Caenorhabditis elegans: one gene and its partner. The protein of the gene in region 1 interacts with the protein of each later gene in a biochemical or structural test. Each region holds a gene or a part of one and is shown in the gene's direction. Other genes may lie near its edges.

Region 1 (11,692 bases):
AACTATGAAACTGCTGATGAGGATTCCCTTGGGTATGGACCCGTATCTGCGCGTATCCCTGGTACCTCTTTGGCTCCGCCTCACACACTCTATAAGTTTATCATTTTAACTTTCATTCATTCACAAGTGTGATTATTCCTTTCTCGATGTTCGCCAATATCTTCTGCCTCAACGCCTTGCGCAACAGGAGCTCTACTACCGATGCTCTTCCCTACGAGCCGCCCGTTGAACTTAGCAACAAGGCGAGTCAAACTCAGATCATCATGATCAACGCCGAGAAGCCTCACGAGGAACATCCTGTGCTCGGTTATCCCCGCTTTTGGCCGATCCTTAAGACGGCAACCAGATGGATGGCTCATGAGATTGTTGGATTCAACTGCACGGAGAACCCGATGGCTCCCGTGCCAGCGGAGGATTACAAGCTTGGTCATGAGCTTATCCATTTTGTGTTGAAGGATGACAGTCTCAGGGGCTACGTGATCCCTATGAACGCCATCACAGTTTCAGTGGCCGCCGAGAACTTCCTCGCTGGGGGAGACTCATTCAACTTCGAGCCGATCGACCAGGAAGCTAAGGGATTCCTGACCTACCATCTGATCTCTGACCGAGTCCAGGCGACTTATTTCAACTACAATGGCCTCACGTACCTGGCTGGCATCTGCTACCTGATGAGAAGCATCACCGATGAGATCATCTGTGACATCAATCGCCCGAGAAGCTTCAATCATATCGAGATCTGCCGAAAGGCTTTTGAGCTCACCTGGCTCGAACGTCGCCGTTTCCCTTGTGATGATGTGACTCACACTCAGGAGTCGTACGGTGTGGACTGTCACCGCCTTCGCAGAAGAGTGCTTGTGGGCTTTGACGAGACACATCAGAAAATTGTCCACTTGAACTTCAACAATCGTACCGGAGAGGTCTGGAAAGAGTTCTGCAGCAAGTGCAACAAAATGGAAAGTACCACTTCCATTTTCTTCGGTGAGCTTTTGTATGTGAACCTCTGTAATTTTGTTAAATTTCAGCACTCAAGCTCCGTCTCCCACTGGTCCTTCCACCCCAGATCCCCGATGAGATCCTTGATGAAGCTAACGAAATCGTGCCAAGTAAGTTTCATCATTTCAAGTATAAAGTTTTCATCAAAAATTGCAGGAATCGCCATGGCGGACTCCTTCTCGGATCTCGAGTCAATCGCAGACTCGGCCGTCGCCGAATCAGCACGCGCACCCGGCGAATTGGTGGAGTAAAAGAGTTCAATTTAGTTTCTGCTTGTACTGCAGAGTAATTTTTCTATAATCGCTGGACCTAATATTCTCGCTTTACATTTTTCCACTACCTCTATTTTAATCTTTACATCTTAAAGTCTGTGAACTCTTTTCAATAAACAAAAAGTTACTCGAAGATTCTTGACAGAATGCTTCTCTTCATGGTTTCATAGAAAGCTTATCTAGTCGGTTGGTTCTCCCGCCCGGAACACAAGAACAGCTTTTCTACTTTGTTTTTCAGAGAGCTTATCCTGTATTTTTGCTCAAAGTTAGGGGCTCCCGGGCTTCACCTTCCGACAGGAACCTGGAACTCAGGGACCATTGACATTCAAGCACAAAGACCACCCTGAGCATTATGCACCGGTTCCGGTCTTTGTGCTCGCTTGTCAATGGTCCCTGCGAAAAATCACTTGACTCATCATTATTTTCTTCATGGCAACAGTTGCCTCACCCCCTCACTTCCCTCCTGGCCGGGCTTTCTATCCGTTTTTGCAACTTCAGTTCTCGGAAATCTTTACACTTATTTGTGTTTTCGCCGCTGTGATTGCGAAATTGTTAAATGTGATAAGAGATATTTTCTAAGCAAATATTGGAGCAAACAATTACTCTTTTTTTCGTGGGAGTTAGGTTGAAAACCTTTTAGATATAATTTGGCAGCAGATTATGATAATCTTATACTAGTTATGCCAGTTATAATCCGTTCTCTCGTTTTTTTTTGGACTTTAGCTGACAATGACCTAGGGCCCAAAACCGGCAAATCGGCAAATTGCCGGAATTGAAAATTTCCGGCAAATCGGCAAACTGCCGGAATTGAAAATTTCCAGCAAATCGGCAAATATCCGGAATTGAAGATTTCCAGCAAATCGGCAAATTGCCAGAATTAAAATTTCCGGCAAATTGGCAAATCACCGAAATTAAAAGTTCCCGGCAAATTGGCGCATTGCCGGGATTGAAAATTTCCGGCACTTGCCAAAAATTTTTTGGCAAATTGTGGTTTTGCACTTTTTTTTTGTAATTTCAGAATTTCAATTTCAATCGGCAAAATTGTACGAATTCCACAAATGTTTCTACAGCTATTTTGAAAACAAACAAATTCTATGAAAATATCTAAAGATAACGAGATAAAAATTTCAAAAAGGCACAGTTTTAAGTGTTGCCGTCTTATAAAAAATCCCTCTAAACATTTCCAACAATCGGCAAACCGGCAATGTCTGAATTGAAATTTTCCGACAAATCGGCAAACCGGCAATATGCCGATTTGCCGAACTTATCGAAAAAAAATTTGCCTAACAACAATTGCCGCCCACCAATTGGATCAATCAATTTGACCCAAATTTTCTATATGAGAAAAAGTTTGTTACCTTTGAGAAAATGCAATTCAAAAATAGTTTTTAAAAAATGCCAAAATAGGATTCTGTGCAATTTTTTACTAGTTGATGAAAAAAAATTTTCCCGTCCAGTTATCGGCTTCTACCCAAGTATTGCTTGAATTAGCAACTCTCTCCTCACCCTTAATCCCTGTCTCCAGTGTTAGAATTAGCGCGTTTGTTAATCGTTTTCTCCTTTTCTCATATCAATCTCCTCACTTGTTTCCTTCATCTTCTACTCTTTACGCTCCGATTTCGTAATTCCAATGTGTTTTTAAAACCGGTTTGCCTCGGAGAACTGTCAAAGATATCATCAATCTTCGATGAGATTCGTCACTGTGAATGGCGGGAAAACAGTGACACCGGAAGGTACCGTTCGGTTCCTAGGGCGGACCAATTTGGAGTAGCCAGGTTGTAGAAGATTGATTAAGGCCAGTAAAGAACATTGGGGACCTCAAAAATTACGAGAACCTTCAATAAGCAAACAATACGAACTTCAAGAAGCGTCATATGCATTTCCAAGTGCATTTACATAGTTTTTGGCAAAATCGTTACTAAAATGTGCTGATAATGAGTCAGTTCTGCAAATTGTGACCAATTTTCCGGGAAAAAAACCTTATCACTTTTCAAATACCTCGCGCCAAGTCGTCTGCATTTTCCAAACAAAACTTGCAAACCTTGAAAAAATCCATTTCCGTCGCGCTGCCAATGGCCTCGCTTGTTGATCCACCTGTTCTCTCATCCCCTCCGAAAACTACCTGATTCAAGTTCAAGCGGCGGCCCGGGAGTTCGCAAACGTGTGGTCAGGCAGAGACAACAAGAAAACTTCAAGAGACCGCCGTTTGGAGAGACGCAGAGAAGAAGCGTGGAAGGGCCCCCGCGGCGGTTTCCCCCCATCGCTTCCCTCATTTCATTCTCCCATCTCTCCACATTTTTCCTCATCTTTTTTTTCGCTTTTTTCTAGTCCAGAAGACGTTGAGGCACGACACTTTTTGGTGGTCATTTTCTTGTGTGACGCGGCTGGGCAATCGATTTTTATGCTTCTCTAGGGGCTTTGGAAATGGGCTGAAAGGTCGAAATGTGCTCATTCTCCAGTAGTTCTTCAATCTTTATTTCGCTATCAGTAATTTAACTTTCCTCATAATTTTTCTAGCCCTTCTCGAAAAAAATCTCTCCACTGACAAATTTTTAACATTTTCCATACTTTAATAATCTAATAATAACAACCAATGCTCACTTTCCTTCGCCTAGTACCTCTTTTCAATCAAAAATTGCATTGATGAGTAATTCAAACATGTAGAGCGACGACGGGTGAATAGAAAAGACACACGTTTGCCCCTCTCATACAAACAGGTGATCGTCCTCTACGGGCACCCAAGGGAGACGCAGACGGTGAGGTGATTCTCTAGAACAATTCATTGTCGTTTTTTTTTTGTGGAAGAAAACTGGGTTGCTAGGCTTACAATTAGAATCACTTTTTTTAGAGAGACTCAGCTCTGACGTGAGGATCTTCTAGGTGAAAATTGAAGCGTATAACATTTTTAAAAACCAAATAACCTTTCGAGAACGTGGTGTCAGGCTGTCTCAATACAGTTTGATCTACAAAAAATGCGGGAATTTTTTATGGGAAAAATTGTGACGCACTTCTAGGCGCTTGCCCAGAAATTCCGCACCTTTTTCAGACAAGCTAAGCACTGTAAAATTTAAAATTCTAGACCCAATATACTTTGTTTCCTGAAACATCATCATGTCCCTCCAGTTTTATCGCAACAATGTTGTGATGACGTAGTGGCTTCTTGTTCTTTTTCCATTTTTTTTGAGCCATGTAATTTGAGCAATTATATACGATAGGGGTTCAGCGTTGGAAAGACTAAACTTATTATAGCCACCTAGATTTTTACGCGATCATGGACCTACATCCAACTAACAATATACTTGTTGATCTTTTTCACTGGATTATTCAGATAACAAAGTTCATTTATTTCAAGATTTTATTAGTTTCAACAGGTTTGAGCTATGCCTTCCGCAAAAGCTTTTGTGCAGGCCCAAAAACCCTAGGCCCCTTTCGGCCCCTAAGGTGAACTGTCCTTTATCACCCTACCGGTCATTCACTACCGGCAAAACTCTAGCCAAGTTGGGGTGTGGCCAGAGTTATGGAAAAGTGTTCCTCCTTGAACACTTTTTAGTAGTTTTTTTTATAACAATTCTTCTCGCCAACATTCTCGACTCAAAAGTTATACTACCCTCTCTCTCTCCCTCATAATTTCTATTTTTATCACATTGACGCACTAACTCAAATAGGTGATGACGCAGTGGCTACTCGTTCTTATTTTTATTTACAATACTATATTTTTCGAATAAAACGGGGGCTAATAGTAAGGATTTTCAGCCGAGTAAAGATTTTTGACCCTCACCCCCTTCCACCACCCCCACAATTATAATCCCTTTTTCACTCCCTCTCAACTACCACTTTTTATTCCTTTTCCCCTTCTTCTTCTCATGTTCCGGTCGTTTTCCTCCCTCTTCTTAGAGCATTCAAAAAGTGAGCTTCCGATTGAGATGTTTGTGTATGTGTGTGTGGCGAGGTAGCATGGCAACGGAGCACGCCTGCCATGGAGCCAGGCACCCTCATCTGAAAATTCATAGTTATTTCCATGTGACTCCCGCGATTACGGTCACCGCCACGCCCTGAAAATGTTACTATCGGTTTGCTCAGTTCTTATTTTTTTTTGCTGATAAGAGAGTCTTCTCGCTAACTCACTGTAGAAATTTGTCATTTTTTGTGTTTATAGGGGGCCTCCCGATGGGGTTGAGGGAAGGGGTCTTCCTCGTGCCCCACTGACAACAGAGATAGGTTATATGGTTCAACATTACTTAGATTCAATTTTGGAGGTACAGTTTCCGGCAGGGGGTACACCGTAATCTAGGCAACCTTACTGTTTTGGGGAACTAATTGTAAGGAGTATTTAGCTTCAAAAACTAACTACATATATAAAAGTGCTTGTTAAATTTACTTTGTTTTTTTTTCGGGATTCCCTCATAAATTAAAATGCAAGAGTTTGCCGAACTAGGCCATTTTGGCTCGGCCATATCTGGAACAGATTTACGGCGCGTTGCGTATCGCGTAGCGGCTCGGTTTTAGTTGTAAAAAAATGTACCTGCCCGTATGGTGTACGCGACTTTCCCACGCGTTGTCCGGCAGACGATTGTCAATGGAGCGCAAAACTGCAATGAGGAAATCCAGACCCCTGTGCCTCATAACAGGTACCCTAGTACTAACTAAGGTTCCCTAGTACTAACTTTTCGTCTATCTACCGGGTCATGTGCTCTATCAGAGCCACTTTTTGAACTCCAATGTCTCTTGACACTTATCCGATAGCTTGTGTGGGCTGCCAAGTTTGCTTATGACTATCTTGCTAATGACTACCTTGCTGATGATGAGGAAGAGAGCAGACAAGAGTCGCCTGCAAAGAAAGTTTGCCCCAGAAACTTATGTGAGTACTAACGTTATAAATCTAGGGCCTTACGACTGATTTAGTTTCAGGTGTTGCTCGTAAAAATAAGAAGCTTTGTGTGACCTAGGTCCTCGGTGACTGCGACAAAAATGTTTGTTTGTTTTTTTCTGGATCTTTTTTTTTTCCTTTTTTTTGGAACGAAAAAATTTGCAAAAAAATTTTCCCGTGGTGGAGAGTTGAACTCATCTCGTCTCGAATCTCAAAATTTTTGAACTGATCTATAGTTTCGCCCCAGAGAAGACGACGACTTGAATTCCTGTACACCGCGCATGATCGCCCCGGATCCTCTCCCTTTCTCTTCATACGCATCACGTCATCCGTCCTCAATTCCGATACAACATTGATTTTGTCCGTTTTGCAATTACCTTTTTTGACTGCCAAGCTTAAAAAAAACTATTTTTTTCAGATAAAATGACATCTACCACAATGGTAACCACTCTCGACTTGGTCACACCAACATCAGGTACAATTTTTGTGGGGGGGCATGGTGCATCGATTTACGGCGCAAATCAAACTTGGGGGTTCCAAAATCATGGTGCATCGACTGACTATTGCTAGCTTTAAGTTTCAGCTGTTTTGAGTTAGTGTTTTCCACGTGGAACACAATTTTGACCTAACGTTAAACCCCTCATCCCATACCCCCGACATATCTGCGTCTCCGCGCTTTTCTCCAAGACACGGCCCCGCCGCCGGCAAATCGACGTCGCGTAAGCCACGTGGAAGTTTTTACGGGGAATGCAAATAGTGAGACGACGGCGACGCCTTATTATCAGTAATTCTCTGACCATATGATGTTTTTTATAGGTTTATGGGCATAAGTCATAGATAGGTTGCATAACTTTTTAGATAATTTTGCAGAATAAATGGGCTGTTTGAGCAAAATTACTGTCGTTTTTAGATCAAAACTTACCAAATTTTTACCCAAAACTACTACTGATGTTTATTTTTTGGCTACAAATTGACAAACGTTCGTATAAAACTTGACAACATTAGACGAAAATGGCAAAAAAATAGTTGTTTTCCATCAGTTTTCCATCAAAACATACATACAATAAAAGCAAAGGTTTAGCTGAAATTTTGAGTTTCTAAGGTAAAAACGGCTATTTTTTTGTATTTCTCAAGTTGTCTTGATTAAAGTTCCAAATTCTATTTTAAGCCTCATTCCCAAACTAATTAACCCCTCTCCGCGAGTGCCCAGCCCGGCTCTCTGCTTCTCTGCGTCTCCTGTTGTCGCCTCGAATGGCATGACTCTATTTTTGTTGTGCTTCGTGTGCTCCACGACTCGCGTGACGTCAATGAGCCAAAGAGGGACCCGTTGAGCTGCTCTAGCCAAAATGAGTCAGACGTGTAGCTCAAGGGACCCGGAAAGGCACTTGCGAAATCGCTGCTCTTGCAGAGGGAAGGGGCACCTTAAAAATGAATTTTTTGGGATAAAAATTTTCAAAAAATATTTTGCCGATCAAAAACTGTTTCTGATGAATCACAGCAAAGAGAGACATAGAGAAAACCAGAGTGAAAAATCGCAATATGGCGCCACCAGGCCAATGTGCGCGCGGCAGTAAATACATACACTTGAACTTTTTGTTTTTCTTCGATCCAACGAACTTTTCCCTTTAAACTCCTTTTTTTCAGAAGAACAACCGGGTCCTGCACCGGAGTCCTCCGACTTCTCTACAGTAGTCCTGAGTCCGGATGGGTCGGAGCTTGTGACACAAAGTGCTCCAAACACACCGATACAGCATCGGGAGCAGGCGAACGCGGAGTTCGGACAGAAAGAAGGTAAGTAGAAGTTCGCAAAGGCACTAGGAAAGCGCCAAAACACGAGATCTGCGCCAAAACACTAGAAGTGCGTTAAGGCACTGAAAATGCGTCAGCACTTCTTTGCGCTTTTCTTGTGCCTCGGCGCGGTTATGCTGCCTTTCCTCCTGATTTTCAACAATTGTCCCCTGTCGAGAAATGCGCTAAATCACTTGATCTACGAATAGACAAAAATACGTCAATGCACGATAAATGCGCCAGCAACTTCATTGGCGCTTTTCTCGTGCCTTTGCGCATTCCTCGGCGACGATCCTTTCCCTCGTGTTCTACCATCTCCAAATTTTTTTTGCAAAAAAAACCGCCAAATGTGTATTTTCTCATCCCCACCGCTTCCCGCACACACGTCACTTTTTTCTCTGACATCTCTCTGTACTCTCTCACATTCCCACACTGTCTCTTATCACTTGCCGACTGCATATTGATTCAGCGAAACAATACGCACATTTCCATCAAAATATACTAAAGAAAACGTGATCTTTTTCCACTAAAAATTCAAAATTTTCAGGATCCCCAGATCCCAAAAATATGGTGGCTGCGACCGGGAACGCGTCGAAACCCAGCCTGAACAGCTTCTACGCAGATGGGCTCGGACAGCTTAGGAATGGGCTCTTTTCGTGTTTTCAGCCAGTTTTTGGATATTTCGGGACTAAAACTACAGTTGAAATGTGAGTTTTAAATATTTTTTTTTTGATTGAAAATTCAATTTTCCAGTGAAAAATCCGAGGATGAACTATGGGAGATCCCATTCGACGCTATCTCCGAACTTGAATGGCTGGGCTCCGGGAGCCAGGGAGCAGTGTTTCGTGGTCAGCTGGAAAACCGAACTGTCGCTGTGAAAAAGGTCAATCAACTGAAGGAGACCGAGATCAAGCATCTTCGACATCTCCGTCACCAGAATATCATTGAATTTCTCGGAGTTTGCTCAAAGAGCCCGTGCTACTGTATAGTGATGGAATATTGCTCAAAAGGACAACTATGTACTGTATTGAAGTCAAGAAATACAATAACCCGAGAACTTTTTGCTCAATGGGTTAAGGAAATTGCTGATGGAATGCACTATTTGCATCAGAACAAAGTGATCCACAGGGATCTCAAATCGCCCAATATTCTAATCTCCGCTGAAGATTCAATTAAAATTTGTGATTTTGGAACGTCTCATATGCAAAAGAAAATGGATAGTACTATGATGTCATTCTGTGGAACTGTTAGGTAAGTTGGAACTTGGCTTAGGCTTAGGGTTCTTAAATTTGGCTTGGGCTTAATCTTAGACCTAAGCTTGGTTGTAATGAACTTCAACATTTTCAGCTGGATGGCCCCAGAAATGATAAAAAAACAGCCATGCAACGAAAAAGTCGACGTCTACTCATTTGGAGTTGTGCTCTGGGAGATGCTCACCAGAGAGACGCCATACGCAAATATTGCTCAGATGGCAATCATTTTTGGTGTTGGAACAAAGTGAGTTGTAGTTTGTTCCCTGATTTTCTGTTTTTTTTTCTGAAGATTCAAATAGCCAAATGTCCAGAAAACCATTTTAATAATCCTAAAAACCTTTTAATTTTCAGCATTCTGAGCCTTCCAATGCCAGAAGAAGCTCCGAAAGGTCTTGTACTTCTCATCAAGCAATGTCTATCTCAAAAAGGTCGCAATCGTCCCTCATTCTCCCACATCCGACAACACTGGGAGATCTTCAAGCCGGAACTTTTCGAAATGACTGAAGAGGAGTGGCAGTTGGCATGGGATTCTTACAGAGAGTTCGCGAAATGTATACAGTATCCGTCTACAGTAACCAGGGATCATGGTGGACCGAAAAGCGCATTTGCGATGGAGGAGGAAATACAGAGGAAGCGGCATGAGCAATTGAATCATATTAAGGTTAGAAATATTCTATTAGTTTTTAACTAGGCTTATAGGCTTAAAAGCTAAGTTTAAGCCTAAAGTTAAGCCTAAGACCAAACCTGAAACTAGCCTAATTGTAAACCTAAAACTCCAATTTCTTCCAGGACATCCGAAATATGTACGAGATGAAGCTTAAACGAACCAACAAAATGTATGACAAACTCCAAGGCTGCTTCACAGAGCTGAAACTCAAGGAAAGTGAGCTCGCCGAGTGGGAAAAAGATCTGACTGAACGGGAGCAGTGGCACAATCAGAACAGCCCGAAGGCAGTGGCGGCTCCGCGAGCACAGCTACGTGGATACCCGAATGAGGGATATGATGATATGTCGTCTGACGAAGATGTTCAACCGTGCCGAGGATCTCCGTATAGGTGCTCCAATACGAGCTCCTCGTCAGGAGTTCAGAGCTCTCCGTTCTCAAGGCAAAGCTCGAGCCGGAGCAGTGCTGGACAGCAAACGAGGAGAAGCGAGGGAGCGAATCCGCCAAGTGAGTATATTTTCCCTGAAAAATTGAACATTTAAGCTTTCGACAAAGCTAAAAATCAGGGAAAAATCTTAAAAACTGAAAAAGTTGTGGATTTTCAAAATATTTTCAAAGTTCAACTTATCTAAATTCTAGACCTTTTTCGAAAATTCATAACTTCGTTAGAATTTAAGATTATTCCAAAAAATGTATTACAAAATATAGCAAAGTTAATGAACAACTTGGCAAAAATATTTGATTCACTTATAACTACTTGGCTACATTATCCACGGGATTTCCGCGGGGAGACCTCAATTTTTTGCAAAAAAATCAAGTTTCCAAAAACCTCGACATGATTATACATTTCTAAAAGCTCTTGGTCCCCTCAATTTAAAAAAAATAGAAAAATTTCAGAAATCCTACGCAACGACGCCATACGTCATTCAGGGTCCTACTGGGAGACGCTGGGTGGGGCCCGTGGATCACCGGCCAGGGATTCCGGATTTTCTCAGGATTCCGGGATGTGGAGCGCTGGAGCCGGTAGCTGCACAGCTATTAATGGTGGAGGACAACAGGTGAGGAGGAAATTAATTTTTGGCACAAATATTTCGAAAAATTTCGATTTTTTTAAACTCAAAGTTTATCGATTTTCCTCAAATTTTCCAGGTTTGCTACTCCCAAACTCTGTACCGTAACGGTGACGGTCGCTGGTCGGACGGGCGCATAGCTTCACGTCGGAGGGTCTCCACGTCAGTCAACAAGTCAACTGCAGTCCCCGGACAGCCCGTCTTCTTTACACGTGACAGCCCGTCACGTGTCCCACACGGTGTGATCAGTTGCTCCTCTCGTATGTGCATGCTCTTTCCTTTTTCTGAGTTTTCTAATATTTTTTTTTGCATGGGACTTCTTTATTTTAGTTAGTTCCCACCACAAAGGGGTACTGTAGCTAGAGATCGATTTGGTTTTCCGAAAAAGTTTAAAAGTTTATCTTCATTTTTAGGCAATATTGAGCTGAAAATACCAAAAATTGACAGAGTTATGGATTTTCAAAAATTTTCGGAATTTTAAAAATTAAAAAATTTTTCGGAATTTTTCGAAATTTTTAAAATTTTCTACAGTAACTTTAAACTACCCTTAAAGATCCTAATTTTCGGAAAATTCATAATTTTCATGGAAAATTCAGAGCTTTCATTTGAGTATAATCATGGCTGGTTTTCTAAGTTTTGACCTAAAACTTTAATTTTCGCTTCGAGACCCAAAATGGGCGGAGTCAGGGTTATACGTCTCTAAATGCTCTTTTTTTTTGGAAATTTTTATGTAATAAAAATTAGCTCTAAATATTTGGAAGTTTAGGCAGAAAAGTTAATTTTTT
Region 2 (7,646 bases), on another chromosome or scaffold:
ATAATTTTCAGTCATATGTGAACTTATTGAGTGCCTTCTGTTTATACAATTTGGATTGTTTAAATAATTATGAAATTTCATTTTTTCGATAAACATTGCAATTTTATTATATTTTTATAACAATAAAAATATGTGAACTTTTTGAACTATTTTGATTGTTTTAAATGGATTTTTTCAAGAGTCTCAATTATTTTCAGAAATTTTTAATAAATTATATTTAACAAAATAGATCAGTATAGACACTCTTGATGAATATCAGATGTTTCAGCAGTTGACAACATTGAAAGACATAACACTAGATCAAAAGTATTCAATTTTAATAGTTTTGGATACGCCACATTAATAAAATAATTTGCTGCAATAAAGTTTTAAAAAAACTTGATAAAATTTGGTGCTTATACGATTAATCACATACGTCACTGTTTACACCTTTCTTAATCCAAGATTTATTTATGTACCTACGTCTATTTTCGAATAGCTGAAAACAACTTTTCTATTTCAGTATACATATTTATATTTCAGATTGTTAATAACACTGCCATCAAACTCTTATAACAGGTAAATTTTAAGGTACTTAATACATACCGTATTTTAGAATATTGTTCAGATATCCCACAGCAAAAAAAAACAATCTGATTTGGATACCTCTCAAGAAATAACAAAAGCTTCTCCAAGCTGGCATATCTAATTTCAAATCTTTTTCCCTTTTTTCCGGACCCACACCCAATTTTCTCCTTCTTCTGTCCTCATCTCCGCTTTTCGACACTTCTCACAGATACACACACAAATACACGCACGGAGCCCTTCTTCTTCGTCCATCTAGGGACACCCGTCCCTTGCTCTCCGTTTCCATCTCCTTGCGTCCTATTTCTCATGTCTGACCGGCTGTCCATTACAAGCGAGTCTGTCTCCAACAAAGACAACACTATGTCTCGTTCTCTTTTCTCCGTTTTGGTTTCATCTCACTTTCTGTGTCTCTCTCACTTCTCTTCCTTTCTCAACAAAACGGGCGCATACCCTTTTACGGGGGGTGGGACCTTCTTCTCTTCGTCTCTTCTATGAATGTCCCTCGATTTTCGCAGATCAGCAAAATGATTCGGACAGGAAACTTAATTTCCCGGAGTTCTAGATTTTGTTCATTTATTTAAAAAAAACGTTTTTGTCTCGGAGAAATATCGTTTTGTGATCGGACAGAACAAGGGATAGGCACGTGGTTTGTGAGCGAACGGAAAACAGTAAAGTCTGTCAATATTGCTTTTGCTCGGCTTTATACTTTTTTATTCCTTGGTGAACAAAAATCTTTCACAATTTTCCCTTTTTCCTCTTTTCTTGTAATTTGGGTAATTTTCATTCAAACGCCTATAATATTTACGATAATTGAAAATTCAAAAAAAATTTCTTCAATTGGAGTTGGATTATCGTACCTAAATTATTCTTGAATAAGCGATCAAAGTAATTTCGCTTTCCTGCTAACTTCATCCGATTTTCTTCATTTTTTAAAGCTGCGATATGATTCGAACCTTTTTTTTGTCAAACTTTCAAATATTTTGTGACAAAAAGTAAGGATAAATGTTAAATTATTGCAATTTTCTTTCAAATCTTAAAAAAATCAAGAAAAATCCCACTGGCGCTACGTTCAAAATCACATCTGCGCATATACTAAGCCTGTGATCTTAAAATTTAGTTATTGTTTCATGGTTTTCTTTTCCTTCAATTTTCCTCATATTTCCTGAATGCACATAATTGCAGAGAAATTGACGCCTCAGAGTTTCTCTGTTATTTTTTTTTCTAAATGCCACAGTTAAATTTTTCAGATCACTAATGATGAGAATCAATCTATCCACAATATTTAACCAATTTTATTAACTTTCCAAAGAATATCCAAATGTCGTTCTTCTTGCGAGAAATTGATGGTGAACGAGTGTGTTCCACGAGCACCGAAACGTCGATTCCTGAAGATAGGAAAAGTGCACGAAGACTGAGAAAATTGCTATACAAATGTGCCGAGAACACATGCAAACCGGATATTCTCAGGGTTCCAGCACATTGCGGGAAACTCGATAAAGAAGAAGGTTAGTATATTTTTTTGTAGTTTGGAGAAGTATAAAATAATAAAAATAAAAATAATTTTTAATTTCAGAGAAATCCAAAACACCTCTGGACCAGCAACAACAAATTAATTTTCATGATATTCTGAACTCAAAATTTGTTGTGGGACCACCTTCGCCTTTTGCTTTAGTAGCAATTGCCAAATCAATTCTTGCACGGTTTGGGAATCCAGAAGAAGTTTCTGAAAAAGAAGATGGAAGCGAAGAGGAAGCCGGAACCAGTGGAGCTGATGAAGAGGGAAAGCAATACAAAAATGTGAGTTTTTATAATGTTAAAAAGTATTAAATGAAAAATACATTGAAATTTCTAATTAAGTTTCAAAGTCAACAGCCAAATTTTTTCTAAATTTTTTTTCGAAACGTAGTTAAGAAGCTTGCAAAACTGGGACATAGGTCGGCAAGGAAACCAGAAAAAACAATTATGAAACCGTGTTTTACACATTGACGATATCCCCCCAGCTAGATTCAAAATTGTTTCCTTTTTAAACGCTAAAAATAGAATATGGTTTGAAAAATAATTATTTGAAATTGAACCGGTGAGTAATAAAACAATTTTGGAATACTAAATTACCATAAATTTCAAAATGGAACTGAACATATAACTCTACAACTTTTTGGAACCCGTGTGTGAAATACTTTTTCTTATTAAAAACTGTTTTAAAAGGTGAAAAATGGTTCAGCTCTCATGAATTTTCAGACTGATCAGCTGGTTGGAGCTAGTTTAACATGTATCTTCGAAGTTCTCGAGCAATTAAGTCGACGTGACGCCGAACTTTGTGTTCAAGCTCTCGAATCATTGTTATCATTGATCCAATCGATGCCAATCGATTGTCTTCAGTCCGAAAACCGTTTATCAATGTCTGCAATGATGCACGTTCTGAAAACGCTTCGAGAAGATGCCTGTCCCTCAGTGAGCTCAAAAGCTACCTCATGCCTTGTGGCTTTATCAGTTGCATGTGGAGAGCCGGAGCATTTAGGAAGCACAATTCGATCATTAATTTGTATGAAGAAAAATATTCGAATGAGCGCCGATTCGACGTATGATATGATCCAAATGCCAGAAAATTTGAGAAAATTACTACTGAAAGTGAGGAGGAAAGCTTTAGGCGGAGACAACACTGCCAATTCCCCGTGAGTATTTTATTCAAGTTGAAAGTATTCAAATATGTAGTATTGTGTTCACAAATTTCTTCTTTTAGTAGAATTTCTTAGAAGCTTGCAAAATCCCATGATAGTTTTATTAGTATTTTATTAAATGCAAAATTTCAGACCAAACTGGGCAATGGTAGATGTTCACGAGCACTCGGTAGCAAGCAGTTTCAGTCTACCTAGTCTTCCTGATAGCTCTCCGTCTTCCGACACTCCCGACGATGACAATCGAATACATAGCACAATGGCATGTGATGGAACATTTCTCTACATTCTTAATTATGTTGGACTCTACAAGTTGGGGACCGGCCTGAATGAAACAATTTCTGGAAAGTTGTATGCAGCGAATCAGAGTTTACAATCGTCGAAAAATGTGCAAATGTATTTATGCAATGGATCATTGTATTTACGAAGAAATTACTCATCATGCATATCAGTGATTGACACGGATTCATTGTTGGATATTGGAGAAGTGATTCTACCACCAAGTTGTGTACAACATGCACTGTTCACGGATGGAACATACTTTTACAGTGCAACTCTGATTGCCAATTCTACACTATCGGTAGGATTTATTCTCTCAAATTAAAAATTAAGATATTTAATTGAAACTATTTTTAAACACTTTTAATCGTGAAAATTCTACTTATTGTTAGAAATAAAAACACATAACATGACAGCTCAAAAAAGTTTATAAATAACATATTTCAGACAATTCAACTAAATGATTCATTTTCCCCTTCCAATGAGCCATCATCACGAAGAAGTCATCGACTCACTGATGTGAAGTTCACGATTCAAGGAGATCTTCAAGTTCCTCACCAACTCCCCGAATTTCTACCTGCAAACCTTCATCGTAAGAATAGTAGTTTTGTTTACATGGAAATTTGAACATATCAATTTTCAGCTCAAACTGTTGATCTTCACTTCACTCGAGAAATGGCATTCATTCAAGCTCGCTCTGGAAAAGTGTACTACGCTGGAAACGGGACAAGGTTCGGATTATTTGAAACTGGGAACAACTGGATGGAACTGTGTCTTCCCGAGCCAATAGTTCAAATTTCTGTTGGAATTGATACAATAATGTTTCGTTCTGGTGCAGGGCATGGTTGGATTGCAAGTGTAGACGATAAGAAAAGAAATGGAAGACTACGTCGACTTGTTCCATCTAATCGCCGGAAAATTGTTCATGTTTGCGCCTCTGGTCATGTCTATGGATATGTATCTGAAAATGGAAAGATTTTCATGGGAGGACTTCATACAATGAGAGTGAATGTTTCAAGTCAAATGTTAAATGGACTGGATAATGTGATGATTTCTTCATTAGCGCTTGGAAAATCTCACGGTGTTGCTGTGACTCGAAATGGCCATCTTTTTACATGGGGATTGAACAATATGAATCAATGTGGAAGAGTTGAATCAACTTCAACCACGTCTTCTCCAAGACATTCCGGTCGTCAAGAGTATCAGATTTGTCCTATCGGAGAACACACGTGGCTAACTGACACACCCTCGGTATGTGCTCAATGCGGGCTTTGCTCCGCACGAGGAGTAGCATGTGGAAGAGTTCCTCGACCAAAGGGAACCATGTGTCATTGCGGTGTTGGAGAGTCAACATGCCTTCGATGTGGACTTTGCAGACCATGTGGAGAGGTTACAGAACCAGCACAGCCTGGTAGAGCTCAGCATGTGCAATTCAGTTCAACAGCTGCTCCTCAAAGAAGTACTCTACATCCGTCACGTGTAATTTTAAGTCAAGGACCTCATGATGTAAAAGTTTCAAGCGTAAGCTGTGGAAATTTTCATACAGTACTTCTTGCATCTGATCGAAGAGTTTTCACTTTTGGATCCAACTGCCATGGCCAATTAGGAGTTGGAGATACACTTAGCAAAAACACTCCGCAGCAAGTCATTCTTCCATCTGATACAGTTATAGTCCAAGTTGCCGCTGGTTCAAATCACACAATTTTGAGGGCAAATGATGGAAGCGTTTTCACATTTGGTGCATTTGGAAAAGGTCAGCTAGCACGACCAGCTGGCGAGAAAGCTGGATGGAATGCGATCCCTGAAAAAGTTTCTGGTTTTGGTCCTGGATTCAATGCATTCGCTGGATGGATCGGAGCCGATGGTGATTCTTCAATCATCCATAGTCATACAGCTTTATTATCTTCTGATAATATTCTGAAAGCTCAAATTGTTGCAAACAAAACGAATATTTTCATTTTCCCAAGAGAAGTTGGTAAAGACTACATTGTAATAAGACGAAAGTTGAATGTTTTTGAACATCATGCGAGCGATTACAAATGTTGGTATACATCATGGGCCACTGATCCGAAGTATGACATGCTGTGGTATTACAATTCAGCAGAAATGGAAATCAAAGGATATGACATTTTCAAAAAATCTGAAAAATCTGTGGGCGATGCATTTGATTCCCTAACTTTCCTAGCTGGTGCCGAATTTGCTGTCCAAGTGTACGACAGTCCTGCTTATGCAACTTCGATGAGTCTTGGAATGCAACTTTTATCAGCAACATTCTCAGCAAATGTTATCAATTTATCTGAATTCTGGAAGGAAAAACATGGGGAACGAGAACAGGATCACGAGAAAACAATTATGGATGGTTATTCAGTTGCAAATCGATTTGATGGTACGGGAGGTGGTTGGGGATACTCGGCAAATTCTGTTGAAGCTATCCAATTTAAAGTCTCCAAGGAAATTCGATTAGTAGGAGTTGGGCTGTATGGAGGACGAGGAGAATACATATCGAAGCTCAAGTTATATCGACAAATTGGAACAGAAGCTGATGAGTTATATGTGGAGCAGATCACTGAGACTGATGAAACAGTTTATGATTGTGGAGCACATGAGACTGCAACTCTTTTATTCTCACAACCAATAGTTATTCAACCAAATCATTGGCATGTAGTCAGTGCAAAGATAAGTGGTCCTTCTTCTGATTGTGGAGCAAATGGAAAACGTCATGTCGAGTGCGATGGAGTAACATTTCAGTTTCGAAAATCTGCTGTGTCAAACAATGGAACTGACGTAGATGTTGGACAGATTCCGGAGCTGTATTATCAAATTGTCGGTGGATCTGAAAGTCGTGACGAATCGGATTCGAATAAACAGCTGTCAATCAGTAGAGACATGTCAAATCTCTTTTCACCTGCTGCACTGAAAAATGTCACAGCGGAAGGAATTGGTAATTTGCTGATACTTTTGGAGTGGGCTTTACAACGCGTTCAAATTGATGAAGATACAAACAATCAAGTTGAAGGAAGTGCTGAAAATCAATGGAGTCAGGAAAGAGCAGGATTTGTTGCTATTTTAAGCATGAAGCTTATATCAAGATTCGTAAGAACAGTGTACAAAGAGAAGGGATGTCATGATGAACCAGGAATTGATTTTGCTAATAAGTTGGTAAATCTGCACTCAATGCTCTTAGAATTCTTCTTTTCAACCGATATGACTGGATATGAAAATCGTCCATTAATTAAAAAAGAAGAAAAGGTTGTTGAAGAAGGGTATACTCTGATGAAGTGTGTGTCGGAAGCGGTTAAGCTATTCATTTCTCTTTCTCACTGCTTTATGGGATCAAGAAGTCTCATGAATGCTCATCTTATCGCTGTCATGAACAAAGGAAATCATGAAGCTTTGATCCTAACATCTGCAATTATTGGATCCCTTGCTAAAATTGAACGGTTTGCTCATCAACTTCTATGCTCGACTACCACAACTGAAAGATTTCCAATGCTGTCATCACTTCTTCTGAAACATTTCAATTGTGAGAAAGAAACACTCGCGTCTCTCACTTCATTTCCAAATATTCTTCGATTTCTTTACGATCAAACTTTTATGAGAAATGCGTACGAAAACACGTCAAGTTTGGCTGAGGCCATTTTGGTCAAGGTATCGAGAGATCTTGCCATTCCGACAGATGATACTCTTATGGGACCAGTAGTACATCAAACTTCGTCGAGGTTCAGAAGAAGAAGTGCACAACCTACTTGGGATATGTCTGATGGATGTGCAGATGCAATTGCTTTTAGAGTGGACTCCGAAGGGATAAAATTACACGGTTTTGGAATATATCTTCCAACTGAACCAGACCGACGGAATTTCGTTGGAGAAATAATGATGTTGTCTCCAGATTCATCTGAAAAATGGACATGCCTTCTTCGGGTTACTGCTGAAATGTCGTCTGAAGAAAAAGAAGTTGGAATTGTTAGATTTCCAGAATATGTACTTCTTTCTCCAGGTGTCACTTACGCTGTCAAAGTTAACATGATGAAAAATACAAAGACATTCTGCGGAGAAGGTGGAGTCACTCAAGTGCATCTACTCAATGGAGCCCGCTTGTTTTTCTCAGGATGCTCAATGAGCCAA

The links. The genes of interacting proteins can lie anywhere in the genome.
Region 2: of the proteins of dlk-1 (region 1) and rpm-1, one has a biochemical effect on the other in vitro, tested with the Caenorhabditis elegans proteins (one study listed by BioGRID).

What each region holds. Positions count from the first base shown.
Region 1 is NC_003279.8:12,567,660-12,579,351, reverse strand, and holds the start of dlk-1 (Mitogen-activated protein kinase kinase kinase dlk-1), read left to right. Parts: upstream 1-6,550; 5' UTR 6,551-6,555; coding exon 6,556-6,607; intron 6,608-7,776; coding exon 7,777-7,923; intron 7,924-8,467; coding exon 8,468-8,627; intron 8,628-8,673; coding exon 8,674-9,171; intron 9,172-9,267; coding exon 9,268-9,417; intron 9,418-9,524; coding exon 9,525-9,834; intron 9,835-9,962; coding exon 9,963-10,344; coding exon of another isoform or gene 10,345-10,379; intron 10,380-10,734; coding exon 10,735-10,895; intron 10,896-10,986; coding exon 10,987-11,167; intron 11,168-11,692. Other genes in the region: F33E2.10 (DUF4817 domain-containing protein), read left to right, coding at 147-978, 1,023-1,103, 1,150-1,244. UniProt on the Caenorhabditis elegans protein: Component of a MAP kinase pathway that functions presynaptically to regulate synaptic architecture and presynaptic differentiation. Phosphorylates and activates mkk-4. Has a role in axonal regrowth following injury and synaptogenesis.
Region 2 is NC_003283.11:8,814,195-8,821,840, reverse strand, and holds the start of rpm-1 (E3 ubiquitin-protein ligase rpm-1), read left to right. Parts: upstream 1-1,885; coding exon 1,886-2,072; intron 2,073-2,140; coding exon 2,141-2,364; intron 2,365-2,805; coding exon 2,806-3,239; intron 3,240-3,377; coding exon 3,378-3,822; intron 3,823-3,968; coding exon 3,969-4,113; intron 4,114-4,164; coding exon 4,165-7,646.